Linked DNA regions of Rhinolophus ferrumequinum. The protein of the gene in region 2 interacts with the protein of the main gene of each other region in a pairwise test. Links are inferred from orthologs where the notes say so. Each region holds a gene or a part of one and is shown on either strand. Other genes may lie near its edges. The genes, in order: TCF19 and DNAJA3.

Region 1 (15,720 bases), on a different chromosome or scaffold from region 2:
TCTTCCAGGCCGCTGAAGAGACAAGTGTAAGCAATTAGAGATCAAGTACTAAGCCTTCAGGCCTCACAGAAGGAGGTGTGAGTGCTTGGTTTCAGCCGACCGACTCGCCGCAGACTCTTTGCAGGAGGCGGCTGCTGAGCCTTGAATAATAATGGCTGCCAATTGTGGTCCATTTCCTAAGTGCCTGGCTGTGTGCTCCGTTCCTACGTTATTATCTCATTAACTATCACAAAACCTCCTCGGGAGGTATTATTAGCCCATTTCACGGGTCTTAACTGCTAAATGATAAAGCTAGGATTTGAACTGGGGTTTACCTTGTTTCAAATCCCCAAAATAGGATTTGGAAAAGCTGTGATGGGGACAGCTGAGGACATTTATAGTCTTGAAACACTGCCAGAGCAGAAAGTGGGAATGGAAGCCAGCCTACTTGAGTTTGATGGAACTGAGCACCCTTGAAATCCTTCTCTAAGGCTTCCAGGACCACACAAAACCTAGCTACTCTTTGGTCCCCTTGGACACTGGCCTTCACTGAAGGGCCCCAGGGCTCAGTCCCTCAAACTCTGCTCTATCTTTTCTGTCTCCTGCTGGGATGGCTCCCTGAGTGTCCCCCCTTATCCACCCATCGCCCAGCTATTCAGGCGTTCGCATTCCCTGCTCATCCTACATCCACTCCTTTGGACACCCCGCCATGTTTACCTTTGTAATATACCCTCAGTCAGTACTTACCTACCACCCTGGTCTCGGCCACCGCCACCTATGCCTGGATAACTGCAGTTGCCTCCCTGGTTTATACCCTCACTTCCTCCTCAGTCTATTGTCACCGTGTCAACTGGAGTGCACATTTTGAAATGTGAGAGTTCTGATCATGTGAGTGCAGCACCTACTCTGCCCTGCTTGCCCCTCTTGAGATCACACCCCTCCCTCTTCCATGAGTCAGCCTACTCACCCAGCCCCCTGCTGCTTCCAGGGCTGCCCGCCTTGGGCCTTTTCACTTGGCTCATTCTCTTTGCTCAAACTTCACCTTCTTCATCATATTTAAAATTGTCCCCTTCCCCATAATGTCCTACTCTGCTGTACTCTGTAATCCTCTACCCTGCTTTACCTTTCCCACGGTACTTCTAACAAACTCACATACTGGATAATAATTATTTGTCTCTCCACATTGGAATGGAAGCTCCGTGAGGCTAGGGCTTTTTGTCTACATTGTGTAGCTGCTGGCTTATAGAAGGTGTACCATAAATCTGTTGAATTAATCGAGGATGCTTCTAAATTGCAAAAAATATATAAAAATAGGGGAGAATCAGAGGTTGTAAAAAACTGAGCACCAACTATATACAAAGCACTTTACTCATACCTCTTATGACACCTGTAACTTTTTGTAGTGTTTCTCTGATATGCGTGCCGTGTCTTAGTCTGTGGGACCCTGGAAGAAAGCTGGGGAAATATATTGAAATGAGAAGCAGAGAGACACAGGGGTCTTTATTTCTGTACGGCTAATACTCCAGTCGAAAAGATTTGGTGTTAATGAGCTAATAGGCAGGAGCTCCCTTCATAACCTGACAGGTGTTCTCATTGAGTCCAGGACTGGTCTTTCCATCACACATGGTGCTCTGCAGCTTCTGGGGTGAGTGACGTTTGTAGATAGGTTGTTTCTAGATGGTAGGTGGGCAGGCTGGATGCAGACACTCCTGCAGACCGCCCCTTGGGCCCAGGTGGGGAGAGGGTCAACAGTTGGTGTTTGTGTTCTTACGTGTCCTCTGCCTTTTAAATGCTGTCTCAGGACATGAAAGCTCTGCAGAAAGACCTCGAGCAGTTTGCCAAGCTCCTGAAGCAGAAGAGGATCACCCTGGGGTACACCCAGGCCGACGTGGGGCTCACCCTGGGGGTTCTCTTTGGTGGGTCCCCGGCAGCATGCTCTGACCCACAGAACCCAGGGACCACATCTCCCCTTGGAACATTCCTGAACTTGGCCTTTCCTCCCTACCAAGGGCATGAGGGGAGGGTGTTTCCAGGGCATGCTCTGCTCTCACCCGTGAAAAGGGTAGAGAGGGAGGGACGAAGATACTTGGTCCCAGAGTTCCCTCTGGGAAGAAGTGGAATCCTGGGTGGGACCTTGTGAGGGCAGGAAGGGGTGGTGAATTTTGGGTCTTGGGTCCCTGCCTGCTGCCACATGTTGCTTCTCTTTCAACCCGCCTTCCCAGGGAAGGTGTTCAGCCAGACAACCATCTGCCGCTTCGAGGCTCTGCAGCTCAGCTTGAAGAACATGTGTAAGCTGCGGCCCCTGCTGCAGAAGTGGGTGGAGGAAGCTGACAACAACGAGAATCTGCAGGAGGTGAGGGTCGGTGGGCGCATAGGGACCTTCCGTGGCTCAACCTGCTGTCGGTGCTCCCACCCCCAGCTGGCAGCTCCCTTAGGGGCCATAGTCCTCAGTGGATGGAGGATAGATGATTCCTCAGTGCTGCTGGGACAAGTCCAGAGCCACTGGTCTACCCTTGTAGGATTCTTTTTCATACCATCTGGCTCTGGTGACGCCCCTTAGCAATTTGCTCGAGTCCCTGATGTCATGGTGCTGTTGCTTGCTCCCCATCTCCTCCCCTGATCCCCCCCGCCCCCACCTGCCCAGATATGCAAAGCAGAGACGCTGGTGCAGGCCCGAAAGAGAAAGCGGACAAGCATCGAGAACCGAGTGAGGGGCAACCTGGAGAGCATGTTCCTGCAGTGCCCGAAGCCCACGCTGCAGCAGATCAGCCACATCGCCCAGCAGCTCGGGCTTGAGAAGGATGTGAGTGCCCTCCGCGTGCTCCGTGCTCCGAGTCCTCCTCCCCAGGCCCTGCCCGCTGCCCTAGCTCTGGCTTTTGCCCTCCAGCCACTCTGGATCTGTTGCTTTGGAGCCAAATGACCTCATAAAACCAGGCACACCTCCTGGAGTTTATGAGTGAGTGTCACTCTCCCTTGTGTCCTCCACTCCTAGGTGGTCCGAGTGTGGTTCTGCAACCGTCGCCAGAAGGGCAAACGATCAAGCAGTGACTATTCTCAACGAGAGGATTTTGAGGCTTCTGGGCCTCCTTTCTCAGGGGGACCAGTATCCTTTCCTCTGGCACCAGGGCCCCATTTTGGTACCCCAGGCTATGCGGGCCCTCACTTCACTACGCTGTACTCCTCAGTCCCTTTCCCTGAGGGTGAAGCCTTTCCCTCTGTGTCTGTGGCCACTCTGGGCTCTCCCATGCATTCAAACTGAGGTGCCTGCCCTTTGCCAGAAAGGGGAGAGCCAGGGAGAGAACCCTGAGGATTGTGCTGGGGCTTTGGGGTTAAGTTCTTCGTTCACTAAGGAATTGGGAACACAGAGGGTGTGGGGGCAGGGAGTTTGGAGCAACTGGTTGGAGGGAAGATGAAGTTCAATGATGCTCTTGATTTTAATCCCCACATCACTCACTCATCACTTTGATCTTAAATAAAGAAGCCTGGGACACAGTAGGTGGATACTTTTGTTTTTGCCTTACTGAAGAAGGTCCTGGGGATACCCAGCAGTGATATTAACAGCTCTCAGACCCAAACGACCCTGAAGCCAAAGTGCCATACCTGCTCAGTCACACAGTATCAGAATGAGAGTGGGACTGGAACATGTTTATTTGTAAAGGTCCTTGTAGGCACGAGCTAGTTCTTAGGCGCTCATGACATGGGTCCCAGGGAATTTGCACCCTTATTTCAGCCCAAGATGTTGTTATGTAGCCATTCCCTACCAGGAGCTGGCTCTGCTTTCCCCACCGTACACTGGAAGTCCTTGGGGTTGTCCTGCTAAGAAATCGAGTCTTTAGATTCTTACCTCTGCATGTCCAGTGACCCCAGCCAGAAACGCCACCTTGTGCTGTCCTGACACCAGGGTTCATTTGGTTTCCCTTTAAGGTTTCTGCCTACCCTGGCCATGAATGACTCAGCAGGCCCCACACTTTAGTCCTGGTTCCAGAGCTGTTTCCTCGATGTGGAAACACTTGGGTTGGTAAGTAGGTAGGAGTAGAGAGGGTAGACATGCAGGTTGCAATAGACTACCAAGATAAGGCCTTTCCTAGAAAGAACAGAAACACTGCTTTGACGGTACCTTGGCTTGGTGTAAGGGTCACAGAAGGAAACCAGTGAACCGTGCATGGGTTAGGTTGATGCACACGGGACCAGGCCAGGGTCTGCTCTGGCTGGTTGACCAGCTCTTCTCTTCCCTGGCAGCACTAGCACCCTTGTTTTGTTGCGCTTCACAGATGTTGCATTTTCTACAAGTCAAAGGCAAGGCCCTCCACCAGTAAAGATTATGGCTCCCGTTAGTGCAGTGGTCTGAACATGCAATGTCTCTGAGGTGTGTCTGTACAAGTGAAGCTTGTAACAGTTCTGCCATCTACATGAAACTGACCAAACCCCAGCTCCCTTATTTTAATGGCATTGGGTCTGTTTTCCTTTAAAGGAGAAGACTTCTTACCTGGGTTCCTTTTTTCCCATCTCCCATCTCCAGCTCATCCCACCTATGTGCATCTCCCCAGTGAACGGGTTTGTATTTCTCTGCCTTTTCTGCTCATCTCCCAGGCCCTTAAGAACTCATGTTCTGCAAACCTTCCCAAGGCCATTCTCCCAAGAATTGGAAAGCATGAGTATGAGACCCACAAAAAGAATAAATGGCAGTGAATGAAGCTACTCTTTATTTGGAAATGAAAGCAAACCTCTGAAAAGCCAGGCTACAAACAGGGTCAGCAATAGGACTCCCCACAATATAAGGAAGTTTGGGGGCAGTGCTCTAGGTTTCCCCCAGAATGCCTCAGGTGATGCCATCCAAGAATGTTGAGAACTCACTTGTTAGTGTCTGGGGCTTACATCTTCCCAGGCATGGTCTCTGCAATTGACCAGAGCTCTGGTCACAGACATTCTAGTGTGAATGGCAGCCAGGACCTGGGAATTTCCAGCTCACTGGCAACTTCCTGCAGGCAGTGTTATCTTTGGCAGGAAACCATCTCTTCTGTCACGTTGGCCATGAGGGCCTGTTCTAGACCCATAGCAATGGACCCCAGCACTGTGGGCATTCCCTCCTGGGCAGGCAAGAGAAAGCAGTTCTTAGAACCCACTGGTATTCCCTCGTGTCCACCCATGGCCTGGAGGTGCCAGCTGTCTGGCCCCTTGGTGGAGGGCCTTAGGTCTGGACAGTCGCATGACACCCTGGGCACCGGAAGTCAGCCTCCCTGGCAGCCTGGATACTGCAGCCAACACAGGCCACGTGGAACCAGACGTCACAACCATCACACTGAACCCAGGCCACTGTCTCTTCTTGGGGCAGGAAGCAACAAGGGGCTGCACAGGGCTCCCCGGCCCCAGCAGCAGGGGCAGTCATGGTGCTCACTGGGTACTTCGGAGGACGCCCATGACGATTTCTAAAGAAAGTGAGAAAAACCAGGGTCACTGGAAACCTGTAGAAGCCTAGTACTTTACCCTGGATGATACCTGAACCTATGTAGACTCCCTAGACTAATGGTGAACCTGGTTAGGAGCTAAACCAGGTCTTGCCATTCCAACATCTGTTCTCTGTCCACCTCCTACCCCCCACCCCAAGCAGAGGGCCACCTCCCAACCTGAGGCTCTAAAAAGGAATCAAAAGGCAGTGAAACATTGAGAAAACGATCTCTCCACTTACCCACTAGATGTCAGAGGGGTTTTGTCTACTCGGAGTTTTTTCCTGGGCTCTCTAAGGACTAGTGGGGGGCTCTCAGGAGCCTCTCTCTCATCATCCAATTCTGCCAACACTCGGTGAGCCGATTTCCTCCGATTTCTTGGGGGTGGGGCAGAAGGGGCGGTCTCCACTGCCCCAGGGGGAATGGGAGCAGGCCGGCTCTGTGGCCCACCCCCAGTCCGTGAGAAGGTGAAGGGCTGGGGCTGGAGCTTGCTGAGGCTGCCAATGGAGTTGAGGATCAGCGTGGCTCTCGGGGCTGAGGCCAGGGTGCCGAGGGGGCGCTGTGGAGCCCCCTGTGGGGGCAGCATGGGCCAGAAACCAGCTCCTGGTCCCTCTTCCCTAGACCGTGGGACGGTAATGGCAGCAAAATCTTGAGGTTTGACATGGACTTGCTGAAACATGAAGTAGAACTCCGAGGGGCTGGTTCCTGGGGGCCCTTCAGGGCCGAAGGTCAGAAGGTCACCATCACTCAACTGCAGCTTGTGACCCCTTGGGAGTCGGACATTATTGACCAAAGTCCCTGTTGATGACGGGCACCAGACAGATACAGAGAATGACAAAAACATGACCAGAGTCAGGAGTAGAGAAATCTGGTCCTGTCTGATTTTCTGGGGAGCGTGAGGAAGAATATGGCACCTGTCATCAAATTCTCACATTCTAAGTCCCTCAGCAGGTGACATCAGATGTTAAGCTCTTTCTGAGCTGGGAACAAGTGTACTTCTTATGCCCTCCCACAGGACAAGGAGGGAACAGACCCCTTCCCTCACTCCACTGAAGTCCAGTTCTGACGTGCTCACTGTCTCCCAGCTCATTCAGCGGAGCTCAGACTGGGTCTGAATCCTGACTGCACCACTTGCCCACTTCATGACCCTGGAGAAGTTACCCTCTGTGCCTCATTTTCCTTGTCTAAAACGGGGCTGATGTTAATGCTCGTCCACAGTCAATGCATTTAAAACGGTGCCTGGTTCAATAGTAAGCGCTAAATGAATATCGGCTACTATAGTTACCTAATCCCCACCACACTCCCCAAACAGACCTTACAAAGCTTCCACTTTACCTAAGAGGAAACTAAGATTCAGAGAAATGAAGTGACAGGCCTGAGTTTTCACCTGGGGCCAGTGGCAGAACTCAGATGTGAGCCCAGGCTTTTTGAGGTTGGCTGTGACCACCTCCGAGTCAGGGAGTAAGACACATGCCCATATCATTAAAACAGTTCAGCATCCTAACTGCCTTAAGACAGGAACAAGGCACCTCAGCAAATCTGGAAACTGAGTCAGGCCTGAGCTTGGCCCCAGAACATCCCCACTGTGATATTTCCCTGCTGCCCAGGCTCTGGCTCTACCTCCCAGCCCCTGTATGAGCTAAACAGGGGCCACCAAGAGTCAGCCGGGCAGAGAGCTGCTGACATTGCACACTTTGGGTGAGAAGACAAGAGGTCTGGACTACAACCATCCATCCAACCTGACAGGGCGCTTGGGAAGCAGGCAGGGTCCCTGGGGAGCCCCTTCATCATCCCGGCCCAGAACGGCTCACTGCTCACCTTGGCTGCTGCAGTCCTCCAGGCTGACCCTCCAGGCATCACCCTGGCGCTCGGCGTGCAGCTCCGCGTGGACTCCAGAGATCAGGCCGGGCTCCTGTTGGGGCTTCAGGGCCACATCACACAGGTCAGCCCTGTGGCCCAAGCGATAGGTGCATCCAGCGCCGCTTGGGGGGTGGAAGGTGTAGAGATCACCGCCCCTGCCGCCTCCGACGCGCAGCAGCTGAAAGCAGGGCAGCATGGGCGGCGCCCCCTCGGCCCCACCTCTTCCACTTCAGGAATCCATCACCTTCCCCACTCCTGAGCCATGCACGGTGGCCCAAGTTCGCTTTCCGTCTGATGCAAACTTGAGCTATGATTTGTGCAATTTCAACTTTGAGCACACCCCCTGAGCAGTGCAAATTCAGTCCAAGGATCCTAAGCACGTGATGCAAAACTGGCTGTCAAGCAGCTTTGAACTGAAAATTCTGGGAAGGTCCCGGTGCAGTGCAAAAACGAACACGTCCTATGGTACTTTAGATGAACCGATCCTCAGTCTGCAAAATATTCGGAAAGCCTTCAATCTGTGCAAGGTAACATACATTCGGCAGCTTCTGGGGAACTGGGAACTGTAGGTGTGTATGGGGGCGTCCTACTTCTGTGCAATACTAACTTGTCGCCTCGATATAATTTGGGGAAAAGAAGCTTCTTCCTGTCAGACTTGCTTATCCAAATAGAGTAGCCAGCCCTCCTGCTCGCCCGCGCCTCTCTTTTCTGGCCAACCCCTCGCACATAACTAGTTAGCTTGAACCCCAGTGGAAAGTGATTCCACTGTCACCCCCTCCCAAAAGGCAGTGAAAACGGGTCCCTACGTTCTTTCGCAAAGTGGATCTAAATCCCTGCTTCCCGGCTTTTTCGGGTGAGATAATAACAAAGGAAAGAGCTCCCCGAGATCATGCAAGGCAAACCCAGCCTTTTGCCTCCCCGCCCCAGCTCCGTTTCGGATCTACCGCGCGGTGCAGTCTCGAAGTGGTCTCCTCTCCGGCAGTGCCAGCCTGTGCAGCGTTCCGGGACCCCTCGGGCTCCGGCCTGAGCTGCCGCTCCTGCTTGCTGTTTGACAGCGAGGAAGCCGGGCCAGGAGGGGAGCGGCCTACGCGCGCGGGCAGCTCCGACCCCGCCTTCGGAATTCCCCGGTCCGAATTTCGCGCCAGCGAGCCCGCCCCTCCCCCGTACCGTTCCTGATTGGCCAGCCCCTATGCCCTCCTCCGTTCCATTGGGCGGGGCGCTGGCAGGCTCCCCCGATGTCCCGCCTACCACTTTTTCTGATTAGTTCACAAGTTTTCCCGGGTTCCGGGAGTTAGGAGGCGCCGCCAGGGCGCGGAGGTGCCCCAACGTGGTAATTGGGCAGGGCTTTAGACACTCCTGCGCCTGCGTGTATCTCTTCCCCGCCCCCCCACTTCCGGTTTTTGAGCGGCCCGCCAATGGGTCCACTCTGCGCAAGCGCGGTCAGGGGCGGGACCAGCGCCGCAGCAAGGAGTTGGGGGCGTGGCGAAAGGGCAAAGGGGGTTCTCGTGCTGGGTGAGGGGGCTTTCGGGAAGAGTCAGTTGGGGGTGGGAAGGGGTTGAGAAGGGGTTTGGGTTGGGATCAGGGTCCCATAGGGGAGGAGGGGGTACAGGCGCCGGGTAAAGGAACAGATAAGGGGGTCAGAATAGCCTTAGAGCTCCGGGTATATCGGGGTGAAGACTCAGGGGTGTCTGGGGGAGTTAGGGGGGAACGGACTGAATGCCAGCTAGAGTAGGGAGAAGAGAGGAGGCTGTTGAGCTGAGAGATGAAGGTGAGAGTGAGGGAGCAGTGTAATTCAAGGAGAAAGCAGATTAGGATGTAGGGAAGGAGGGGGGAGGAATCCTAGATCGAGGGAAAAGTGGGTGAATTTGGGTGGGAGGGTGGGAGACCCTGAAGAGCCCTCGCTGTGCTCTAGGACGCTGAAGAGAGGAGGGTGGGTGGCAGGAATGGAAGTTAAGGGGATAGAGAAACTAAGAGGAAGTTGCTAGAGGGGTTTGCATGAGATGTCAGGAAGCTGGCTTTTCTGCCAAGGGATCTAGGCTGCCTAGATTCCCAGGGGTTCTGGGGAGGCGCCCTGCCCTACATGTGGCCACATTCATCTGGGGTCAGCTTGGGCCAGCGCTTTAATAGGGAAGGGCCCAGGAGTCATGGCTTGGTGGTGTCCGGATGGGCTTCCCCAAGGCCTGCTGAGCCATGGAGAGAACTCTGGAGACTGGGCTCACAGTCCCGGCACCACACACCTCCAACCAAGAATGGCAGAGACTATAAAAACCTGAGGAGGAGGGTAAAGGCACTACCCAGACCTGAAAAGTTTGAGTAAAGCCTAAGAGCTCCCTCTTAGCCTGTTTCAGTAAATTCCCTCCATCTCATGGTTATTGCCCCAGTTCTATCAGGGACCAGGTTGGGTGAAACAAGTGATCTTTGGGTATTTCCTACTTCCGGGAAGTAGAAAAAGAGGAGCTTAGAGTCTGGTGGACCTGGCTCTTATTTAAGGATAATGACTGTTATTTTAGGGGCTTTCTCTTTGGAAGGTGGCCTGAAAATTGAATTGGAGTGCCCTTGTTTCTCCTGTTGTCCAGGGGAACATAGATGGCTGGACACAGAATCTAGAGACTTCAAATAATGTGGAGATGTTTCGACCTTCAGGTCAGTGGGACCTGGCAAGGGGACTGGTGATTGTCTCTTCCTGGGAAACTGACCATCTCTGTCCTTGTGATTCCTCAGGTTCCACTGGGCTCATTCCCCCATCCCACTTTCAAGCGCGGCCCCTTCCTACCAAACCAAGAATGGCTCCCACCTGGGTCTCAGACATTCCCCTGGCCCATCAAGATGTCTCAGAGAGGCGGCCAGACAACCAGAAACCTCAAGTGATCATGTGGGAACGGGATGTTTCTGGCGATGGGCAGGAACCAGGGCAGAGAGGCAGGTAGGGGTCCGCTGTCACACTGTGTTCTCAGGCTGGCTTGCCAGAGACCCTTGCTTACTGAAATTTCATACCGTAGTTTGGTAGTTTGTTCATTTTTCCGTAAGCAATTATTGGTGCCTGCAATGCATAAATAATAATAAGGCAGCATGCTAGACGATAGGGATGGGGATAACAAAAATAAATAGGAGAAATCCTGATATCAAAGAATTTCAAGTCCTAAGGGAAGAGACCGATTGACCAACAGCTGATCGTAATAAGCATGATATACAAGGCAAGGTGAAGAAGTTCAAACTGAGACTGTTTTTGTGCTGGATGGATTCATCCTGATGGAGCACCGGCTGTGGGAGCTCACTGTGCTATTTGTCAATGTGTTGTCTGTAAAGATTCTTATTCTTGTTTCACGTATGTCTTTTCCCAAATGTACTGGAATGCCATTCTGCCGTTGTGCTCTAGCGTGGGATTGGAGACAGCGCTGCCTCGGACCCCATCAAATAGGAAGGAGCATGACGACGAAGGGGGAGCACTGCAGTGGGTGTCAGGAGACAGAGACACTCTGTTCCTCGTTTGGCACCAGCTAGGGGTCCTTTGGCCAGTCACTTAACTTCTCTAGGCTATAGTTCCCTGCTTAAAGAAAAAAAAAAACCCTGTGATTCTGGGCCCCAGTGAGGGCGCTATGCCAACAGCCATGTTATAAGCTGTAACTTTATGTGACACCAATAGCGCCGTGAGCGCGCTCTCTGCTCATCTCCCTCAGACTTTACCTTGCCCTTAAATCAGAATTCAGAAGTCTCTGCATGTACTTCCAACCTCTCTAATTCAGAATGTGTGCACTAATGATGTGCACATTTCATGTTTAAGACATCCTTGTGTGTAGCTCCAGAGGCCATGTTCCATGATCTCAGCCAGTCTAGGTCCTTTGAGCCCCGGCACTGGACCTTCTATGCTTAGTAGGGCCTCCATGGATGACGAGGGTGCTGGGAATGCAGAGATCCCCACGGCCCAGCTTCATCCCCCCGTCTCCTCACATAGGAGCAGAGGGATCTCTTCTGTCTCCATTTATGCCCTGGCCACCTTCCCAGCCTCAGAGATAGGTCTCACCTGTGCTAACCTGTCTTTGCAGGTCCGTGGAGCGGCAGGGGTCACAGGCCCTGAGCCAGCAGGCTGAGCTGATCTCTTGGCAGCTGCAAGAGCTGCGGCGGCTGGAAGAGGAGGCCCGGGTCCTGCGGGAGACCTCGCTGCAGCAGCAGATGAGGCTGGAGGCCCAGGCCCTGGAGCTGGAGGCTCTGGCACGGGCGGAGAGGGCCGGCCGAGCTGAGGCGGAGGGCCTGCGTGCCGCCTTGGCTGGGGCCGATGTTGTCCGGAAGAACCTGGAAGAGGGGAGCCAGCGGGAGCTGGAGGAGATTCAGAGGCTGCACCAGGAGCAGGTGAATGTGGGGGTGGGAAGAGCTCGGCTTCATAGTGGGAAACTGGGCAGTAATTTCCCGGCAGAGAGCAGGAATCAAAGAAAAGCAGTGGAGTGATGAGAAGTCGTTTGGTGAAGGTGAAAAAACATGACCTGGAAAGAGGGAGACCTTGGGTGTTTGCTCTTACTCAGACTGCACTTTTCCCCAGGACCCAGGTGATCTCCCCCACCTGAAGCCCTCCTTCCCCTTCCAGTAGGGAGTACTCTGTCTTCCGACTTTACTCTGGCCACCCGATTCATCTGGGAGCATTAGGGGCAGCGGGGTGGAGGAGTGGGGTCCTGAGGTGGGCTGGGAAGGGGAGATTGTTCAGTCGGTAAGCACTTGTCAGAGCTTACTCTGCCATCCCTGAGATGAGAGCCAGGACTCCACAGTGAGCACATCAGCCCGAGTCCCTGCCCTTGTGGCAGGGCTGACAGCCTAGTGGGGACACACACATTCCATACTTGATTTAGTCCTAGTTAATTGCAATTGGGAGAAGTGCCCTGAAGAAGGACAAGGGAGCCCTAACCTGGTAGGGGAGTTAAGGAAGGCTATCCTAGTTAAGAAGTGAAACCATAAAGATACTGAAGGAAAACCTGGGTGAATTCTTCTGTAACCTCACGGTCTTTACGCGTGAATCAAAATTCTGAACCATTGAAGAAAAGATTGGTACATTGACTTTCTAATACTAAACTTAGGAGTGACAAAATAAAAGTAAAATTAAAGGACAAATGATAAACCAGAAAGGAATACGAGTAGTCACAGCTCAAATCACAGGAAGCGGCTGATATCTCCACTGTATAAGGTGGGCCTAGAAACTGACAAAGGAAACACACAAAAAATGTCCGTTAAAAAATGGACAAAGGAGATAGTCAAAGACAAATATAAATGCCTTTAGATTCATGAAAGATGCTTAATGATAAGTTGACATTTATGCAGAATAAGAGCTGGCTGGTGAGGAGACGGGTTGGGTGGCTGTGGGAGCTGGTGTGACAGTGGCCAGCACGTGTGACAGGAGGGGGCCTGAGAGCCTTGAGTGCAGGAGACGAGAGGGCTCTGGGCGGTGGTGTGACTGCAGGACGTCAGGGCCCACGTAGAACTTTATCTGAAGAACAGCAGCTAGTGAAATGGGAAAGTGATGTGATGAGATTTGTATTTTACATCTCAAAAGACCAGTTTTGTGATTTATGTCCAAAAAGATGACTCTGACTGTGGTATGGAAATAGAGCAGGGGGCGGGACGACAGACTGGAAATGCGGGCAGCAGCCTCCCCCCTCCACCCACCTCCACCCCCGTCCCATGACCCCTCCAGTGTCCCCAACACCCTTACCACTGTTCAAGGTGCAGTAAAAAAAGGACAAGATTCCTACCTTCCTAGAACTTCCTTTTGAAGGGGGTGTGGCAGACAGTAAGCACACACAGAAGTAAGGTCATCTCAGACGGTAAGTGCTGGAAGGACAGGAACAGGCGACAGGACGGAGCAGGGGTGGGTAGGGATTGGAGGCCCAGGGCCGCCTTCCCGCGGAGGTGACAGGTGACGTGTGCCCCTCACCCCTGAATCTGAGCAGCTGGGTAAGCGGGAGAGTGATGGGAGACGGGCTCAGACAGGTGGGCAGAGGCCAGGGCACAGTGGGCGTCGCAGGCTGCGGGAAAGACTGGGTTTTGTTGGAATGCCGTGGTGAGCCACTGGAGGTTTCTAAGCCTGGTGAGGAGATTGCTGCCGTCCAGGCCTGAGACGAGGGTGGCGTACATCAGGCTGGTGGCAGCGGAGGTAGAGAGAAGTGAAGGTATGATTTGGGGGAGACCTGACCGGAACTGCTGATGGATTGGAAAGTGATGGGGGGAGTAAGGCGCCGGGGACTGTCTCCATTTGCCGTGCTCAGTCAGGTGATGTGTGTGCTGGGCTGTCTGAGGTCACCGAAAGTGGGAGGGGACAAGGCCAATGCAGGGCCGATTTAGAAAGCCTGGATGTGGGAGTGAGCCAGCTCCTGCTGAGCCCTCTCTCTCCGCAGCTCTCCTCCTTGACACAGGCTCACCAGGAGACTCTTTCCAGTCTGACCAGCAAAGCTGAGGGCTTGGAGAAGTCTCTGAGTAGTCTGGAGACCCGGAGGGCAGAGGAAGCTAAGGAGCTGGCTGAGGCCCAGAAGGAGGCCGAGCTGCTGCGGAAGCAGCTCAAGTACGTGGGGTGTGGGGTCCCCAAGGCGGGCCCAGCGATTGGTGGGTGGGGCGGGTCTCCAGGGTGCCCCACTGATGGTACCCTATTTCCACCCTAATACTAGCAAAACCCAAGAAGACTTGGAGGTTCAGGTGACCTTGGTTGAGAATCTAAGGAGATATGTGGGGGAACAATTACCTCCTGAGGTCCACAGCCAGACGTGGGAGTCGGAGCGACAGGAGCTTCTAGAAACCGTGCAGGTGAGAAAGTGTAGGGTGCATGTGTGGGGGTGGGGGTGGGGCGGGAGGCCAGGATCCCAGGGGAGGCGTGGTCCCTGGGGAGAGCAGCTTTCCCTGAGGGTGCAAACAGGCCTCTCTCCTGCTGGTAGCACTTGCAGGAGGACCGGGCCGGCCTGCGCAAGACAGCGGGACTGCTGGAGGTGCGCGTGCAGAGCCTGACACACATCCTGTCCCTGCAGGAGCAGGAGCTGGCCAGGAAGGTAGGCCGGGCCTCCCTGTGTGTGGGGGGGGGCGGGGGGTGGAGGACTTTCCTTCCCTGAATTTGCTGCAGCTCCTGCTGCTTGGGCAGCACAGAGAGAAAGCGAAATGCTGCCTCCTTCCTCTGCTCCCCCAGGAGCCCACACTGTCCCCCTCCTCCGCCCCAAAGGTTCAGCCTTCAGATTCCCTGGAGCCTGAGTTCACCAGGAAGTGCCAGTCCCTGCTGCAGTGCTGGCGGGAGAAGGTGTTTGCCCTGATGGTGCAGCTGAAGGCCCAGGAGCTGGAGCACAGAGTGTGTGTGGAGCAGCTGAAGGGACAGGTCACCCGTCGCCCTTTCTTCCCATGTTCTTCACCCCAACTTGCTCTTTACATAAGGGATGGCATTTATTCAACAAATACTATTGTGTGGTTACCACGTGCTGGGAACATAGCCCTGAACAAAAACAAGTACCTGCTCTCACGAGCTTAGGTTCTGGAGCAGACGCACAATAGGCAAGCAGACGGTTAGGTAAGGTCAGGTCATTATGTGAGCTGTGAAGAAAAAGGTGACTGATCACGTGACACTGCGGGGGGTGGGGGGGCAGCCTCAGGCAGGATGCTCAGGAACGGCCTCTTGGAGGAGGTGGCATGTGCAGGTCCTTGTGGGTCACAGGGCAGTTCCTCAAGGTGTGGGCACATGGAACATGCTTCTGGAAGGAAACCTTGGTTTCCATTCTCAGGAACCCACGCTTCTGGTCTCCCTGCATGGTGTTCTTTCAGAGACCTCTGCACCTGTCCCTCAGTGCCCTGCCTCCTGTCCTCCCCCAGGTGGCAGAGCTCCAGGAAAGAGCCGTAGCCCAGAGCCAGGAGCAGGCCATCCTGCAGCGCTCCCTGGAGGACAAAGCCGCAGAGGTGGAGGTGGAGCGTGTTGGCGCCAAGGTCAGTGTCAGGCGGGCAGAGGCCAGGGGCGGGCAGAGAACAGTGGCGGGCTGGGAAACCCAGCGGGCTGGGTCTGTGGGCTGGGCTGAGGAGGGACCCTGTTCTTCATGGCACCCTTCTAGGCCCTGCACATGGAGCTGAGCCGTGCCCAGGAGGCCTGGCGCCGGCGGCAGCAGCAGACAGCCACGGCTGAGGAGCAGCAGAAGCTCGTGGCCAGTGCCGTCAGCAGGTATCAGGGATGGGGGGTGTGGGAGGGCAGGGAGGGTGGGGGTAGTGTTCCGGCTTCCCCAGCCTCCCGGGCACCTTGGAGTTTAAGAACTCAGGCAAGACGGGCTGGAAAGCTGGCCACTGGAGGAGCAGGGCAGAGGTATTACGCCTGTAAAAGCTCCTGTGCTTGTTTTTCCTGGAGCAGCCCTCCACGTTCCCACCAGGGTCATTTGTTAGGACTCCCACTGTGTGTGTGGCTGGAGCTGAGGCAGCACGTCCTGCTGCAGTCTGGTCC
Region 2 (15,427 bases):
TGACCCTCCTAAGCAGTACTTACCGTACTCAAGACAGAAAGTCTAAATGCAAACCTGAGAACCTCTCCCCCCACCCCCACCCCACCCCCTTCCCACAGCTCCCCATTGTACTCAGAATAAAAGCCAACTTCTTCCCGTGGCCCTTGGGCTCTGGAAGACCGCTCTGGACTTGTCAAACACCATGCTTTCCCATCACTGCCCTCATCGTCCTGGCCCTTTCCATTTCCCACCACCACTCTTCCTGTAGCGGGCTGCTTCTCATCCTTCTAGCCTCAGCTTAAATGTCACCTTCCAGTAGCCTGCCCTGACCACCCTGGAGAGATTAACCCCTGCCTCACTGTCCATCTCCATCCCAGCCACCCCCCCTCCTGCCACGTTCTTCAGGGCACTTATTAAAACTCGCAATCCCTTGCATGACTGTCCGCTCGCTGGCTGTCTCCCTAGTGAGAGGCACCAGAGAGGACAGAAAGTGCTGTCCTGTTGACTGTTGCGCCTCCAGCAGCTGGGCACAGCACATGGGATGTTCAGAGGAAATATTGTCCAGAGAATGAAAACCAGTCTTGTGTCCGAGGCTGCCCTGATGTGCGTTTGCCCCTGATGGGGTCACCAGATGGGGTCAGTTTCTAGGCCCACTTATGGGAGGACACGCCAAGGCCTTCCAAACAACATGGGGAGCGGCTGATCAGGGCTGGCACCGTCTCCGCAGCACACTCCTCATCAGGCCGGCTGCTCTTCCGGAGGTCCGAGGAGCTCCCCCAAGCACCTCAGGGCTCCACCTTCTCGGGCTGCTCCAGGCCCCACCCAGGCCCTGGTAGCATCACTCGGAGGAAGGGAAGAGCTTGCGCCAGCCGCGAGAGGAGGAAGCACCGGCGGAAACCCGAGGGAGGGGCGCGCTTCTGTCCGAGGGGCTCCCCCTCCAGGGACACACCCGGACTCGCCGAAGCCAGGGAATATAGAAACATCTGTCCCACACACAAGCCCCGGGCAGGGGCGATCGGGACCGCAGGAAGGAGAAGCCGGCGGCAGCAGTGGCCGCGCCGCGGCTCCCCAGCGAGGCAGACCGGAAGCCGGGAAGGCAGGCAGCCTCGCAGGCCTCAAGCCTCCACCCGGCCGGGCGAGCTGCGCCGCCTCGGGGGTCCCGGAGCCAAGCGGGCGGGCCGACGGACCGCGGGGCTCACCCAGCGGCCAGAGAGCATCCAAGCGAGCGTCCCAGCAGGTCCGGACTGCGCCCTCGCGGCGGCGACCGAGCGGCCCCGACGCCGGGCCCGAACCTGAAGGGGGCGCCCCCAGGCAGAGGGGCTTCGCAGTCCCCGTGCGGGGCCGAGAGAGAAAGAGGGGGCGCGGGACTAGGCTCACCTCACGGCGGGGCGGCCGGGCCTCCGTGTGCCGGAACTTGGACACCTTGAAGCGGCTCATGGCGGTGGGGACCACGGAGCTTGCAGCTTCGAGGACCCGGGCGACCACCTTCAGGTGTACCGCAGGCAGCAGCGAATCCCGTACCCTCCGGCTCCGCCCGCGGCCCACCGCCCTCGGCCACGCCCAGACATGCCCCGGCCAATTGCAGCCGGCTCCGGCCCACTGGGCCCCGCCCTCGCCACTCTTCCTCCGCGCGCGCGTCCCCGGCCCCGCCCCTGAGCCAATCGCTAGTCGACCGCCCTGCGAAACCACGCCCCAATTGCGAAGGGGCGGTGGCGCGGGTGGGGAGGTCACGTGCGGCGTGCTGTCCGCCCCCGGCCCCTGGTTGAGTGCGTCGCGAGTGGGTGCAAGAGCCCGAATTTTGTGTGCAGGGATTTGCCCCAAGAGGCTTTCAGGGTGCAGAGACGCGCCCACTCTGAGGAGGAGCGAGGGCTTCTATTTCAGAAACAGTGAACACTCAGGGAGAGAGGAGTCGCCGATCCATGGTACACAGATAGTGAGTGGCAGCGGGGGAGCAGGAGTCCAGGTCTGACGCAAATCCCTGTCCGTGGGGTCTTCCCTAAAGCCTCTGCATACCACCCACCCTGCTTAGGCCAGGTGGGCTCGGCGGGAGGGATGGGACCTTCAGCATCTCCTTATAAGGGCATGTCTTGGCTGCAGGCCTTGGGCGAGGTGGGGCAGGACTCTTCGAAGGAAATCAATGTATCATAAACATATAAACTGAAAGGCCGAAAGATAGGGGCATTCTCCAGAATCCATTAAATAGCAAATATGCCCAACAGGCGCTGCTGGTATCCCAGGGCAACTTGGAAGGAAAGAGAGCGGGCTCATTCCCCGTGGGGCCATGCATTACACAAGCATTTCTCTTCGCTTTGAAAATTGACTCCGTGATTCCAGAATATGCTTTCTGCTTGAGAACAGACAGAACACCTGCTCGGGCGTCTGGAAAAGGGACTTTGATCTGAGGAATGCGAATGATTGGTCGGAAACGCTAGCTGCTGTGAAAATTCCCTTTGCGCAGTCTGAGGTAGGCTGTGCGCAGGGCGATTCGGAAAGCTTGGCCTGGAGATGGGTGCAGGTGGACCCCAAAGTGCAAGTTCTCGTTTCAGTTCATGGAGGACTAAGAGGCCACTACCGTATCCTACTGAGTTAAGAGCAACTTTGATCACCATAAACTAAAAATAGGATGTCAGTAGAGTTAACCGAAGGCTAGGATTTGGAATTCTAATCAGGCTGGCAGCCACTCCAGAATGCAGCTTTCCCATGGCACATACTCTTCAGACTCGAATTCCAGCAGCTTTGGAAAAGGCACCATCAATGCAGTCTTGAGTTGGTTGTAGTGTTCAATATTGTTTCTTTTTTTTTTTAATTATGGTAAAAACAACAAACTTTACCATTTTCAAGAGTACTGTTCAGTAGTGTTAAGGACATTCACTGTGTTGTACAACAGATATTCTTAAGATGGTAAATTTTATGTGCATTTTCCCACAATAAAAATTTTTTAAAATAGAAGTCAACTGTACACCTATTGCAAAGTTCATGTAAACCTCCCAAATTTGTTTTGGCACTTCACCGTTATTCGTTTTTATTGTTTGACCTACCATTATGATGGGCCTAACTGGGCACAGTCAGAAAGTGAGAAAGTCGTTAACCCCCAGAAGTAACAAATGGACATGCCATGGGCTGAATCTGGTCACATAATGTTTTAGTTGGTTCACGTGGTATTTTTAAAATTGAGACATTTCCTGAAAGTTTGAATTTCAGCCTCTTGAAAAATGGAAAGATTTGATTTAGCAACAGTGGGTCCTAATCCCCATATGGCTAAAATGGTTTGGAGCTGAGAAGCACCTGCCACCTTTAAAGCATGTTTTCCCATTTGCTGCAGTCCTACTGGTCCCTGTCATCTTATACATGGCCACTCCACCCTTACACTTTACCTACTTGGCCCTGACACCTGGGTTTGTGACCCCTGACCTCCCCCAGGAGAGAGAGAAGCCATGACCCTGGCTGTGCTGGATCATGTGACTGTATTTCCACAAACTCGGGGCTGGTAGTAGCACAGTTGGAGAATGTCGTCTTCCCCATTCCCACGTGACAAGCCTGAGCTCCACAGCAGGCGAGTAGAGGAGAGTGAAGGACCAGAGGGACATGGAGGCCCAGAGAGTGACCCAGATCCATTCTGACTGGGTCACATGTTCCCAGATCCATTCTGGCTGGAGAGTGATTCTTTCTAGTAGAGTTCAGAGCTCTAAGGCTGCTGCAAACTTGAGCAGAATAAATTACTTCATGAATTGCAAAGTTGAACTGACAGCCTCCAAGATTCCTTCCAGTCCCAAGAGCCTATGAATAACCAGCTTTGTTTCTTTATAGTCCTAGTAACTCCACTTCACTGTTTGTCTCTCAGGACTCTGGAAGACACCTCTCTACCCTAAAATTTTTTTTTATTGGGGAATATTGGGGAACAGTGTGTTTCTCCAGGGCCCATCAGCTCCAAGTCGTTGTCCTTCAGTCTAGTTGTGGAGGGCGCAGCCCAGCTCCAAGTCCAGTCACCATTTTCAATCTTTAGTTGCAGGGGGCACAGCCACCATCCCATGTGGGGATTGAACCAGCAACCTTGTTGTTGAGAGCTCTCACTCTAACCAACGGAGCCATCTGGCCACCGCACTTAGGATGCATTCTTAAACTGTGACACCAAAGAAAACATGTTTCCAATAGGATGTTCCTTTAATCTTCTGTAAAGTCAGTGGTTTCTGTAAATCAGAATTTTTGCAAGAGAAGGATGGATGAAGCCAGCTTCAGTGCCAGCAGGAAATTCCTTACATCTAGTTATCTGCCCCTGAAATGGTTGCTTATTAATGTGCACATTGAAAACATTTTTGTATGTAAGCCCTGCCTTGTTCATTTCAGGAGCTGGAGCAGAAAGGCACATGCAGTTATCAGCACAGGAAATGGACAATTATGCAACAAAATACATTTTAAAAATTTGGAAAAACACTCATTCTCCCCAGCATGACAGTGCACCTTAAATTATTATTTTATTGCTTCTCAAATGAAGGTGTACCCATATGTTCTTGGGGCTCTGATGTTTTACTATATCTAGTGATTTTTGACTTTTTACAAGAACTTGCAAAATATTTTAGCAGAAACTCAAAATGTAACTTTTGTGGTGATAATTCACAACTACAGGGCATCTTTCATAGAAAAGGTGATGTTTTCTAAAGTGATGTTTTTCAATTGGAGGCTACTGATCACCAGAGGATTCAGAGCTTTATTCTTCGTGTTCATGATCTTTTTTTTGCCTTTAAAAGATTTCCTTTTATTTCTCAAGTTTGTGAAACGTTAAGTTTAAGCCTAGTTTGGGCAGAAGAATATTTAGCTGTGAGCTGGTGCCACGTGTGGTTTTATTTAAAGGGTCTTTTAGGAAATCATTAGCACAGAAAACCCAGACAACTGAGGAGAGGGCACAGGTCAGTTCGTCTCCTTCTTTTGCAGGGAACTGCACCCACGGCAGATGTTATGTCCGGGAACATATAGGTTACACATTTCACATCCCCTTGGACTCGTCCCATAGTCTCTTGGGAAAGAAAGGAAATGCTACAACTAGAAAAATCATGAGCTAGCTTTATTGCCTCTGAAGAGACTGGCCGAGGCCCTTTTGCCCTCCCTGATAGGGCTCCTTACATGGGGAGGGGAGCAGCCATCCCATTGCATAGCCATGGACTTGGCCAGTCCCATTGTACCTTGGATGGTTAGTGTCTGCAGGAAATCACAGAGTAGACCATACTTAAAACTCCTTACCAGCTCTCACAGATCTCACTACGTCAGGAGAGCAGGAAGGGCCAAGTGGAACAGTAAAATAAAAAATGTAGAGAGGGAGGTGCTTATGAAATCTGTGTGCCTTTTGCAAGTAACATTTGTTTCTCCTTAAAGCTAAAATTTTTGGCTTTAGACTGGAGACTGGGACAGGGGAGGGTGAGGAGGGGAGAGATACAGGACATATTCTGCCTGGGAGTGTGGGAGGTGTGGCCTGTGTGCTCATCCCAGTTTTTGCCAACAAGCCTGGAAAGTGTCCATTAGTAGCCACCATCACCCACTCCATTCCCTTGGGGTCTCTCCTTCCTAAAAGCAAATGTGGGCTCCCCAACAACCAGCCTTCCTGCTATCCCCTAAAATAAGAACACATACCCCCTTTCAATGTGGACAATTTTTACTGTTAATCACTATGGGGAAGTAGATGGAGGGAAAACTAAAATACCAAAAAATGAGGAAGTTACAGAGCTGACAAAGTTTTCATATTAGTGAGCCCTCCTCTAGTGTCTAACTCACTTTGAGGTGGTAAGTGCAAGTCCCTTTGCCTTGTTTTCGGCTTTTATTCCTGAAAGTTGTACTTCTCAACCAGCACCCTCTCCCACTCTTTCTCCCTAGGTTTTGGGCTCCATGTGGGCAAGTAATTGTCTGAGTTCTGCTTGGTATTGTCAGTGCTTAGCAGAGAGCCTGGCACATAGGACTAACATATTGAGCACTTACTATGTGCCAAGTACTGTATGAAGCCTTTACGTGGATTATCTCACTCCTCAGATCATCCTTTGAGTTATTTACTGTTACGTTCCCCTTTTAGAGAAAGGAAACTGAGGCAGAGATGTTAAATATGTTGCCCAAGGACACACAGCTGGTAAGTGGCAGAGCCAGAATTCAGACTCCAAGGCTCATACACTGAACCACTGCTGGAAAACATTTAAATATTGGTTGAATATGTTAACAGATCTCTTTTCCCCCACTTCTGACCCCTTTTTTCTTGTTTCTCTAACATTCCCTAGCCCAAACTCAACTATTTTTTGCACTTTACAATAGCCTCATAACTGTTCTTCACTGGGCCAGTGGTTTTTAACCTTCTTTGAACCTCAGAACATGTGATGAATTTGATTGCTGAAAGCTATGGACTAACATACACATACAAAAAAATTTGTGTACAATGGGAAGGGTGGGGAGGAGCACAGATCATCTTTAAGCCATCTATGAACCTCCAGGTTCCCTTTTTATTGTTTGAGGTGGTGGTGGTGTATGAAAGTTGAAACTCCTTTGCAAGACTTACCAGGCCAAGTTTATCTTTCTGGCCTCATCTCCAGTCACACACCTTAAGTTTATGGCTTAAACAAATAAGGCAAGCACTTTCCATCTCCAGACATCTGCTCTTTATCTTCTTGCTACTTGGAATACACTTCCGCTCCACCCCTACCTGAGCCACTTTTCATTACTGGAATGTTACCTCTCAGATGCCTTCCCTGACACCCCAATACCCCAACCTCTGAGAAACCCCTTCACCTGTGTTCCTGTAAAACTGTTTGTGCCTACGATAGCACTGATCACGTTCGTTGCTAAGGAGCCTGTGTCTCTCAATTCATCGTTGTGCTCTTCCAGAGCAGAGATAGTATGTCATTCCTCGTTGTATCCCCAATACCCTAGAACGTGCGTGACACACAGATGCTCACGATGTTCATTAAACTCGTTTTGGGGAAACTTGTCTCACTCTGCGACCGGCCAAGTTCACTACAGGTTTGGAGAAGGCTAACACGCTTAGGAGAGACCTAAGGGATCAAAGTCCGCCGCGTAGTGAATCAATCAGAAAAGGTGAGTTTGAGGACAGAATCTGGGAGCTGGGCAGAAACTCCGACCGCTCGCCCGGACGCCGGAGGAGTAACAGGCAAGAAAACGTTGTCAGGAGGAAGGAAGCCGTGTACTGCACGCTGCGATGTGCGCGACTGACGGCCGCATTGCACGCCGGGATTTGTAGTCCCGCCCTTTGCCGGGCCCCTCAAACCAATTACACTCAGCTACACTCAACCACAGGCTTATACAGATAAGGAGCAGTCGTGATCCTCCAGCACAGAATTGCGAGGTTCTCCAGGGCAAGTATATATAGTAGCATTCTTTAGAGCAAACCTCATTTCGGTGTTGGCTACTAGGAAGGCGCATTGGGTGCAAATAAGCGTGCGCAACGCTTGTGCTTCTGCGTGCGCGCGCAGCGGGCCTCGTCTCCCGATGTGCCGGCGCTGCGCGTGCGCGTTATTCTCGCAAGGCCTGCTTGAGCCGGCTGGCGCAGGCGCAGTGTCCCCGGGCCAAGATGGCGGCGTTGTATTCCACACGCTGGTTGCTGGTGGCTGTGGGGACCCCCCGGCTGCCAGCTGCAGCAGGGAGAGGGGCCTGGCCGCCCAGGGGGGGCGTAGTGGGGGCGTCGCTGGGCCTCAAGCTGAGTGTTACCACCTTCGCGCCTTCCTTGGGAGCTCGCGGCCCCCGGGCGCTGCTGACATTGAGACCCGGTGTCAACTTCACAGGTAAGGGCAGGCTCCAGCGCCCGAGTGGGGCCTCAGAGGCCTGGAAAGGGGTGACTCTCCTCGCTCCAGCTACGGGGTAGCAGGGTGGAGGGTGTATTCCGACGCGTATACGGAATTGCTTGGGGAGACTGGCAGGCAGGAGGCAGAGAGGTCCAAGTGGGTACCCAGAAGCGGGGAACGAGGGAGAGCTGCATGGAGCTCCCGCCGGCGGGGGTAAAACGTAGGCCGTAAACCTTCACCACTCTGTCAACATTTTGGGAGGCCTCTTTCCGGGATGCTTCTGCTCCCTTCCCCTATTCCCTTCTTGCCCTCCAGTTTGTAGCCTGTAGCGGAAGGGAAGACGTAACTGCCATTGGGTGAATACCTGCTCTTATGCTAGGCACTTTGTGTGTCATCTCACTTGACGGTAACAGTAACCCTGCGAGGTGGGAATCGTCGTCACGCCCATTTTAAAGAATGGGTAACTGAGGTTCTAGCAGAGGAACTGACCCGCCCAAGGTCATAAAGTTATATAAGAGTTGTCCCAAATCCAGAGCTGTACTTTCATAGCTTACACTCTTTCCACGAAATGCAGTAAATCGACAAGGTACACTTAACGGTCTCTTTTAGAGGTCCTTAAATTGGTAATTGTAATAATACAAACGTTTATTGAGCACGTACTATGTACCAAGCATGGATCATTTCCACATGGTAGACACTGTTATTATTCCATTTTTATAGATAAACTGAGGCTTAGATGGTAAACAACTTGTAGAATGTCACAAAGCTAAAAAGTGGTAGAGCATTCATTCAAAACCTACTGTGTTCTTCATAGTCTGGGTGATAGTGAATTAATATTTATTAAGCCTTTAAATGCTTAACCATGATAGTTTCTCATGCTGTGTTGGGTGATTTTCATTACAGAGAGAGAAGAAAGGAGGAATCATTGAACAACCAACTATATGCCTGAATTGTGCTAGTTGTTTTTGTCCCCTAGAATTTGGGCAAATGATATTTAAACTATTTATAACTTTACAAAGATGATTAATTAAGGGCCCTAACAAGGTAATTTACACAAGATAATTTCCTATTGAGGTCCAGTTCTGTAATGCTGTCATTAAATACCAGTAGTTGTGATTACTTTGTACAGTGAGCAAACTCACCTTCACCTGTGTGTGTGTGTGGGGGGGGGGGGGAGAGAGAGAGAGAGAGACAGACAGACAGACAGACAGACAGACTTGGGTGAATTATTTAATCCCTTTGAGCCTCTCTTTCCTTAACTGAAAATTTATTCATTCATTCACAGGTGTTTATTGAGGGTCTGTCATATGCCAGCCACTGTCCTAGGTACTGGGGATACGAGATTGAATTTGGTTGTGGTCAAGTGATCCAGTTTTTTAATTCTGTTCCTGCCACCTGTGTTTCCTCATGAATGGAGCGGTATGCCCAGGTTTCCTCAGGATTATTTGGAGTGATGTCATTCAGTATTTCTCAGTATGAGCAAAAGTGGTCATTTTCAGGTTTAAGTAACATTTTCTGATGTCAAGCTAAATATGTTCACACTACATTTATACAAGTTGGGGAGCATTTTTGGTGTGTGTGTGTGTGTGTGTGTGTGTGTGAGAGAGAGAGAGAGAGAGAGAGAGAGAGAGAGAGAGGCACTCAGTACTGAGCCTTGTATGTGGTCATTACTAGGGAACTGCAGTCATCTCTCCTGGTCCCACTCTATAGCCTGTGAAGGGCATGTTTTGTATCAAGTGAGAGGTGGCATCTTTCAAAGTGCGCTCTGATATCACATCTAAAGTCATCAACTCAACTCTCAAACATTGGTCTGTGATCTCAAATCGAGTGGTTCAATTAGATGACATAAAAACATTTTAAATTCTCCTTCTCTCCCAAGGGCAGAAAGAAGACAGTTATTTGACACTGCGTTGGGCATTCTTGGAACGACTTGGAGGCTGATCCTATTCTGGGTTATTCTAAAAAGAGCAAGACATTTATTGGTCATATCTTGGGGAAAATTTGCCTATTAAATGAACTTTCTAAATTATTGCTAATCATGGATGCCTTTTGGATAATGTCAAAAGTCATCAAACTTATAATAGTTAAATATGATTTCTCTTTACTCGTGTGCAGTTTTGCATCATGCTAACCCAAGTCCAGGTTCTCTGCTCACGACATTGAAGCTGCAGCTGGAGGGGGCCAGGGTAACTCGTTCATAAGTGAAGAGGGGCTTGAGTGTAGAAACGCTAGGAGACTACAAAGTATTAGGTTGGTGCAAAAGTAATCGCGATTTTTGCAGTTATTTTTAACCTTTTAAATCGCAAGTACTTTTGCACCAACCTAATAGCTCTACTGTTTGCCTCAGATCTGACTAAAGAAAGACAGCAGTGTTCTTCTAACTCCTACTGCTTCCACACTGCTTTTCATTTTCCAGGAAGTCTAAGAAGCAGCAACAGAAACCAAATATTGGGGATACTGAAAATACAGATTTTCTTCCTGGTTCTGATTTTAATCATTCTGACCAGTCTTACTCATTCTGCTGTCTATTTATCGCTTTTCTTGGATATGCTCAACACCCTCGTTGTCTTTGGTGCTCAGATTAATTTTAAGTAGTTGCCCAAACCTAGTTGGTTTTTTTGTTTGTTAGTTTGGTTTTGGTTTTGGTTTTTTGAGAGCTCTTCCTCGTGTAAACCTGACCATTTCCCTGTTTAACACTTTCAGTGGCTTCCTAAGTTTAGGGGTTAAGCAAATAGGGCAAACACTTTCTATCCCCAGACGTCTGCCTTTGATAAGATCCACACTCCTTAGCATAGCTCAGAGGCCCTTCTGCTTATGCCGAGGCCCCTTTAATCATCATCTCTAACCACCCCTCTACCGTCCCCACAACACCATACACAGGCATGTCTGCACACACAGTCTTTAGCTACATCATAGCACCTGCAGTCCTAAATGCACAGGACTGAACCACTCCCTCCAAACCTAAGGTCGTCAGAAGATTTCGTGGCCAAATGGGGCACTTCTGAAAGTGAAAGGGGATGCTGTTGCAGATAACACCAGGACTACAGATGTAAATCTGGATGGATTCAAACCCCTCCTTAGCCTGCTAATTTCTACAGTTTAACAGTATGTGCCTTAGGAACCTTCCCTGAACTTCTTAGATTGGGTTGCCAGTGGTTCTCAACTGGAGGTGATTTTACCCTCCAGGATACGTTTAGTAATGTCTGGAGACTTTTGAGTTGGGGAGGGAGGACCAGATGGGGTGCTACTGGCAATTAGTTGGCCAGGGGTGCTGCAAAACATCCTATAATACATACTACCGGTGAGTATATTAGTTTGCTAGGGCAAAGTACCACAGACTGGGTGGTTTAAACGATAGAAATTTATTTTCTTTTTGTTCTATGTTTTGTCAGGATTCTTTCAAAGAGCCTACATCCACTACAGTCACCTTCTGAAGTGCTGGGGGTTAGGACTTCAACATATGCATTTGGAGGGGGGATACAGTTCTGCCCCTAACAGTATGACAGCACCCGCCTCCCTGCCCCACCCCTGCAAGACGAAACTAATCCCTTCATCCACCCCTTCTTCCACAGGGCAGAGATTGAGAAACCCTGGTGAGGTGACCCTCTGTATAGTCTCACTCTGCGTGTCTTTGTGTGTTAATCTCTTCACACACTGCCTTCCCACACCGCCTCGTGAGAGGGGTTCCTTGAGGGCTTTGGCTTTGATTTTTATTCATTTTGTATCCTTGTGCCAAATACAGTGTTAAGCTCTTGAATATATGTAAGCTCCAGGAGGACAGTGCCTTCAGATGGTTTGCTGCCATGTCCCCAGCATGGAGCCTAGTGCCTGGTAGGTGCTCAGCAAGTAATTGCTGAATGAATAAATGCTCAATATTTGTATTTGCTGAATGGATGAATGAATGAATAGTGAGTACAGAAGCTTCCCTACAGGCGAACGTTTGCCTTAGAAACCTGGAGCTGCCTCCTGATGCTCAGTCTTTTTCTTGGCCCTCCTGTCCCTTCTGCCTTAACTTGCCCCTTTCCCCCAACCTTGCACTCCCCATCTTCCAGTTGTCACAGGGTGGGGTGGGGGTTAGGAGGCAGGACTCAAGGTTGTAGAGTAACTTTGTGTTTGTGACAGGCCAGTCCCAGTTAGCGCTCTGCTTCATGCACAAAGGGCAGGCGAGTAGATGTGCCTGGTGGCCTTTCCTCCCAGCTGCTGATGCAAGAGGCCTGAAAGGAGGCAGGGCATATGGCTGCTTGCCATGTGCTTTGATTCCTTTCAGGTTGTCTACTCTGGCAAACAGAGGTCTGGCACAGGGCCTTTTAACCTTGTGTGTCTATATATGCATTGTTTCTAGAGGAAGGGTCAATGCTTTTATCAGATTCTTTTGAGAGATGTGTGACTCCAAAGACTGAGAATCATTTCTTCAATACAGTGGTTCATAAGTTGAGCCTGTGACAGAATGTCACCTTGAGGGCTTGTTAAACAAGGCTCTACCCCACCGACAGAATTTCTGATTCAGGTCTGGGGTGGGGTCTGAAAATTTGCGTTTTCAATAAGCTGATGATGCTGCTGGTTCAGGGACCATACAGAGTACCACCCTATAAGCAGATACCCAAGGTTGCGTGTAGAGGGAAAGAACATGGGGAGTTGTTAAGCCTTACGTGAGACAAAACATGAGAATACCTGGCACGTGGCAGGTGCTCAGGCAGAGTAACGGGAGCCAAGTCCCCTTTTAATCATCTCAAGGTACAGCCCCCATCTGGGGTACGGTTCCTTTGATGGTTAATGAGGCTCCAGCGGTAGTAATCTAGTAGGATCAGCCTCACCCAGTTTTATATTGACGTTGTTTTATATTCTTCTTGTACTGCGGCCTTAGCCATTTTTGAAGTGCAGTGGATTCGGTCTCCAGTGGGCTTGGAGGAGAACAGGCCCTAAAGCTGTGACCTATTTGCTCCTTCACAGGTATAACCTGGCTGGTTGTTTACTTACAATTTCCTTTTGGTGAGCATATTCCCAGAGTGATTTTCTTTCCTTTTTTCTTTTTTAGGAGTACAAAGTTACCCTTTTGTTTGTACTGCCTCTTTCCACACGAGCACCCCTTTGGCCAAAGAAGATTATTACCAGATATTAGGAGTACCCCGAAATGCCAGCCAGAAAGAGATCAAGAAAGCCTATTACCAGGTCTGTATGGAAGCCAGATTTTAGAGAGAAGATTTGTAGAAGGAATGCTATTATTCTAGTCTGATCCTGATCAATGCAATGCATATGCCTGTACGTATAGGACATAGATAGCTGACAGTACAGAATGCTATGGTAAAGATGAGCTTTGCTAGACTGTTTCTCAGTGCATGATGCTGCACTAGTTAATGCTTCACAAAGAAGGGGAGAGTCAGAACCAGAGATTAAAAAAAGTCTTTTTCCACAGCTGTTTTTGTACTTGAATTTATTCTGCACCTTCTGAATCAGTAGGCGTGCTGGTTTAAGTTTTAGGTAGTCATCCGTTGCATTCAGATAAAAGTTTATGGACTTAGAATTATTTCTTCTCTTAACGCAGAAAGTATGAAATTCCCATCGTCACATCCCAGAACGTATTAGGGCTGATTGGTATAGTGGCATGTGAGTTACCCAGACCAGTGGTTCCCAGAGTTTTGCTCAGATAACAAAATTAAAATTAAAAAAATGGGTACCAGTGTAGGATTGCCAGCTTTTGTAGATGTTAAAAATAACAACAGTTTATTAATGTTGTTTGATGAAAGAGCATCTTAATACCATAAAAATAGGAAAGCCATAATATCAGAATAAAGAAGAGATCTTTACATTAAATAAAATATAAATTACATGCAATAATAAATTACCTTTATGAAAAATTTACAAGATTCTTGAATTTTTCTTTTTTTTCTTTAAAGATTTTTTTATTGGGGAAGGGGAACAGGACTTTATTGGGGAACAGTGTGTACTTCCGGGACTTTTCCAAGTCAAGTTGTTGTCCTTTCAATCTTAGTTGTGGAGGGCGCAGCTCAGCTCCAGGTCCAGTCACCGGTGTTAACCACTATCGCTTGTGGGAGTCGAATCAGCAACCTTGTGGGCAACCCTGTGGTTGAGAGGACGCGCTCCAACCACCTGAGCCAGCCGGGAGCTCAGCGGCAGCTCAGCTCAAGGTGCCGTGTTCAATCTTAGTTGCAGGGGGCGCAGCCCACCATCCCTTGCGGGAGTCGAACTGGCAACCTTGTGGTTGAGAGGATGCGCTCCAACCAACTTAGCCACCTGGGAGCTGAGCGGCAGCTCATTGACTTCATTCTGGTTGCGGAGGGCGCAGCTCGCTGGCCCATGGGGAAGCCAACCGGCAACCCCGGCACCCAGAACCCGCGCTCTAACCAACTGAGCCACCCGTCCGTCCTTTTTTTTTTTTTTTTTTTAATGGGTGAGCAAAAACTTTGTCCGAGCCCAATATTTGTGAACCAAATACTGATCAAGACCAGACGTAACAGCTTATGGCTTCTATGGCTACTTCCTCCTCTTACTTTTTTAAAAAAGTGTACAAATTTACTGGTTTTTAGTTTATTCAAAATTGTACAATCATCACCACAATCAATTTTAGAACATTTTCAACACCTCAAAAAGAAATCCTTATACCATTAGCTCTTAGACCCCATTCTGCTCTCTCCTTGCAATTGCTACCCTGCTTTCCGTCTCTATGGATTTGCCTGTTCTAGACATTTCATAGAAATGAAAGCATACAACATAAGGTCTTTTGTGACTGTCGTCTTTTACTGTCGCATAATGTTTTCCTTTAGCATAACGTGTTCAAGGCTCATCCACGTTGTAACGTATCAGTGCTTCGTTCCTTTTCATGATCAAATAATATTCCATTGCACGGATATGCTACATTTTATTGGTCCATTCATCAGCTGATGGCTATTTGGATTGTTTCCACTCTTCCGTTACGAGTAGTGCTGCTATGAACATCCATGTATCAGTCTTGTGTAGACCTGTGTTTTCATTTCTCGTGGGTATGTGCATACACCTAGGAGGAGAATTGCCGGGTCAAATGATAACTCTGTGTTTAAACTTTTAGGATCTGCCAGACTACGTCAAAGGGGCTGCACCATTTTACGTTCCTTCCAGCAGTGTGTGAGGCTTCCAATTGCTCCACATCGTGGCCAACACTTACTGTTAGCTGTCTTTCTCATTCTAGCCACCCCAATGGCTGTGAAGTGGTGTCTCTGGTTTTGATTTGCTGGCTAATGATGTTGAGCATTTTCCCATGTGGTTATCGGCCATTTGCTGCGTATGTGTTCAGATCCTTTGCCCATTTTTCGAGTTATCTTTTATTACTGGGTTGTAATGGAATGAACAAAGGCATGGGGATAGGAACCAGAGAACCTGGAAGAGTGAATAGCATGTCTCTTCTTTTGAGCTGGAGGGTAAGGTACCTGATGCAAGGGTGGGAGAAGATTGAAAAGATGGAGGCTGGGGCTAAATTAATGGGGCATTTGAGGCCCTTAGCAAGTACTAGAGACTTAATTTAAGAGAGAGTAGGGGACTATTCCAAGTTTTTAGTTGTAGAAATTTTTTAAGTAGCTTTATGGAACAGATACTGGGGTCATTTAATCCTCATGCAAGAGGCTTGGTGAGGTTATGACACAACCAAGGCCACACAGCCCATACATGGCATACATGAGACTAAAATA

Evidence for each region.
Region 1: the proteins of DNAJA3 (region 2) and TCF19 interact in a two-hybrid assay, tested with the Homo sapiens proteins (2 studies listed by BioGRID and IntAct). The two-hybrid records come from large-scale screens. The link is inferred for Rhinolophus ferrumequinum from reciprocal best matches to the Homo sapiens genes DNAJA3 and TCF19.

What each region holds. Positions count from the first base shown.
Region 1 is NC_046286.1:1,657,679-1,673,398, reverse strand, and holds TCF19 (transcription factor 19), read right to left. Parts: upstream 7,511-15,720; 5' UTR 7,480-7,510; coding exon 7,242-7,479; intron 6,222-7,241; coding exon 5,666-6,221; intron 5,406-5,665; coding exon 5,168-5,405; 3' UTR 4,666-5,167; downstream 1-4,665. Other genes in the region: POU5F1 (POU domain, class 5, transcription factor 1), read left to right, coding at 1,781-1,895, 2,202-2,332, 2,624-2,782, 2,972-3,238; CCHCR1 (coiled-coil alpha-helical rod protein 1), read left to right, coding at 9,911-9,926, 10,005-10,206, 11,327-11,630, 13,661-13,824, 13,928-14,063, 14,192-14,302, 14,470-14,619, 15,108-15,218 and 1 more. UniProt on the Homo sapiens protein: Potential transcription factor that may play a role in the regulation of genes involved in cell cycle G1/S transition. May bind to regulatory elements of genes, including the promoter of the transcription factor FOXO1.
Region 2 is NW_022680357.1:5,622,919-5,638,345, forward strand, and holds the start of DNAJA3 (dnaJ homolog subfamily A member 3, mitochondrial), read left to right. Parts: upstream 1-7,496; 5' UTR 7,497-7,537; coding exon 7,538-7,748; intron 7,749-12,783; coding exon 12,784-12,917; intron 12,918-15,427. Other genes in the region: CORO7 (coronin-7), read right to left, coding at 1,357-1,416. UniProt on the Homo sapiens protein: Modulates apoptotic signal transduction or effector structures within the mitochondrial matrix. Affect cytochrome C release from the mitochondria and caspase 3 activation, but not caspase 8 activation.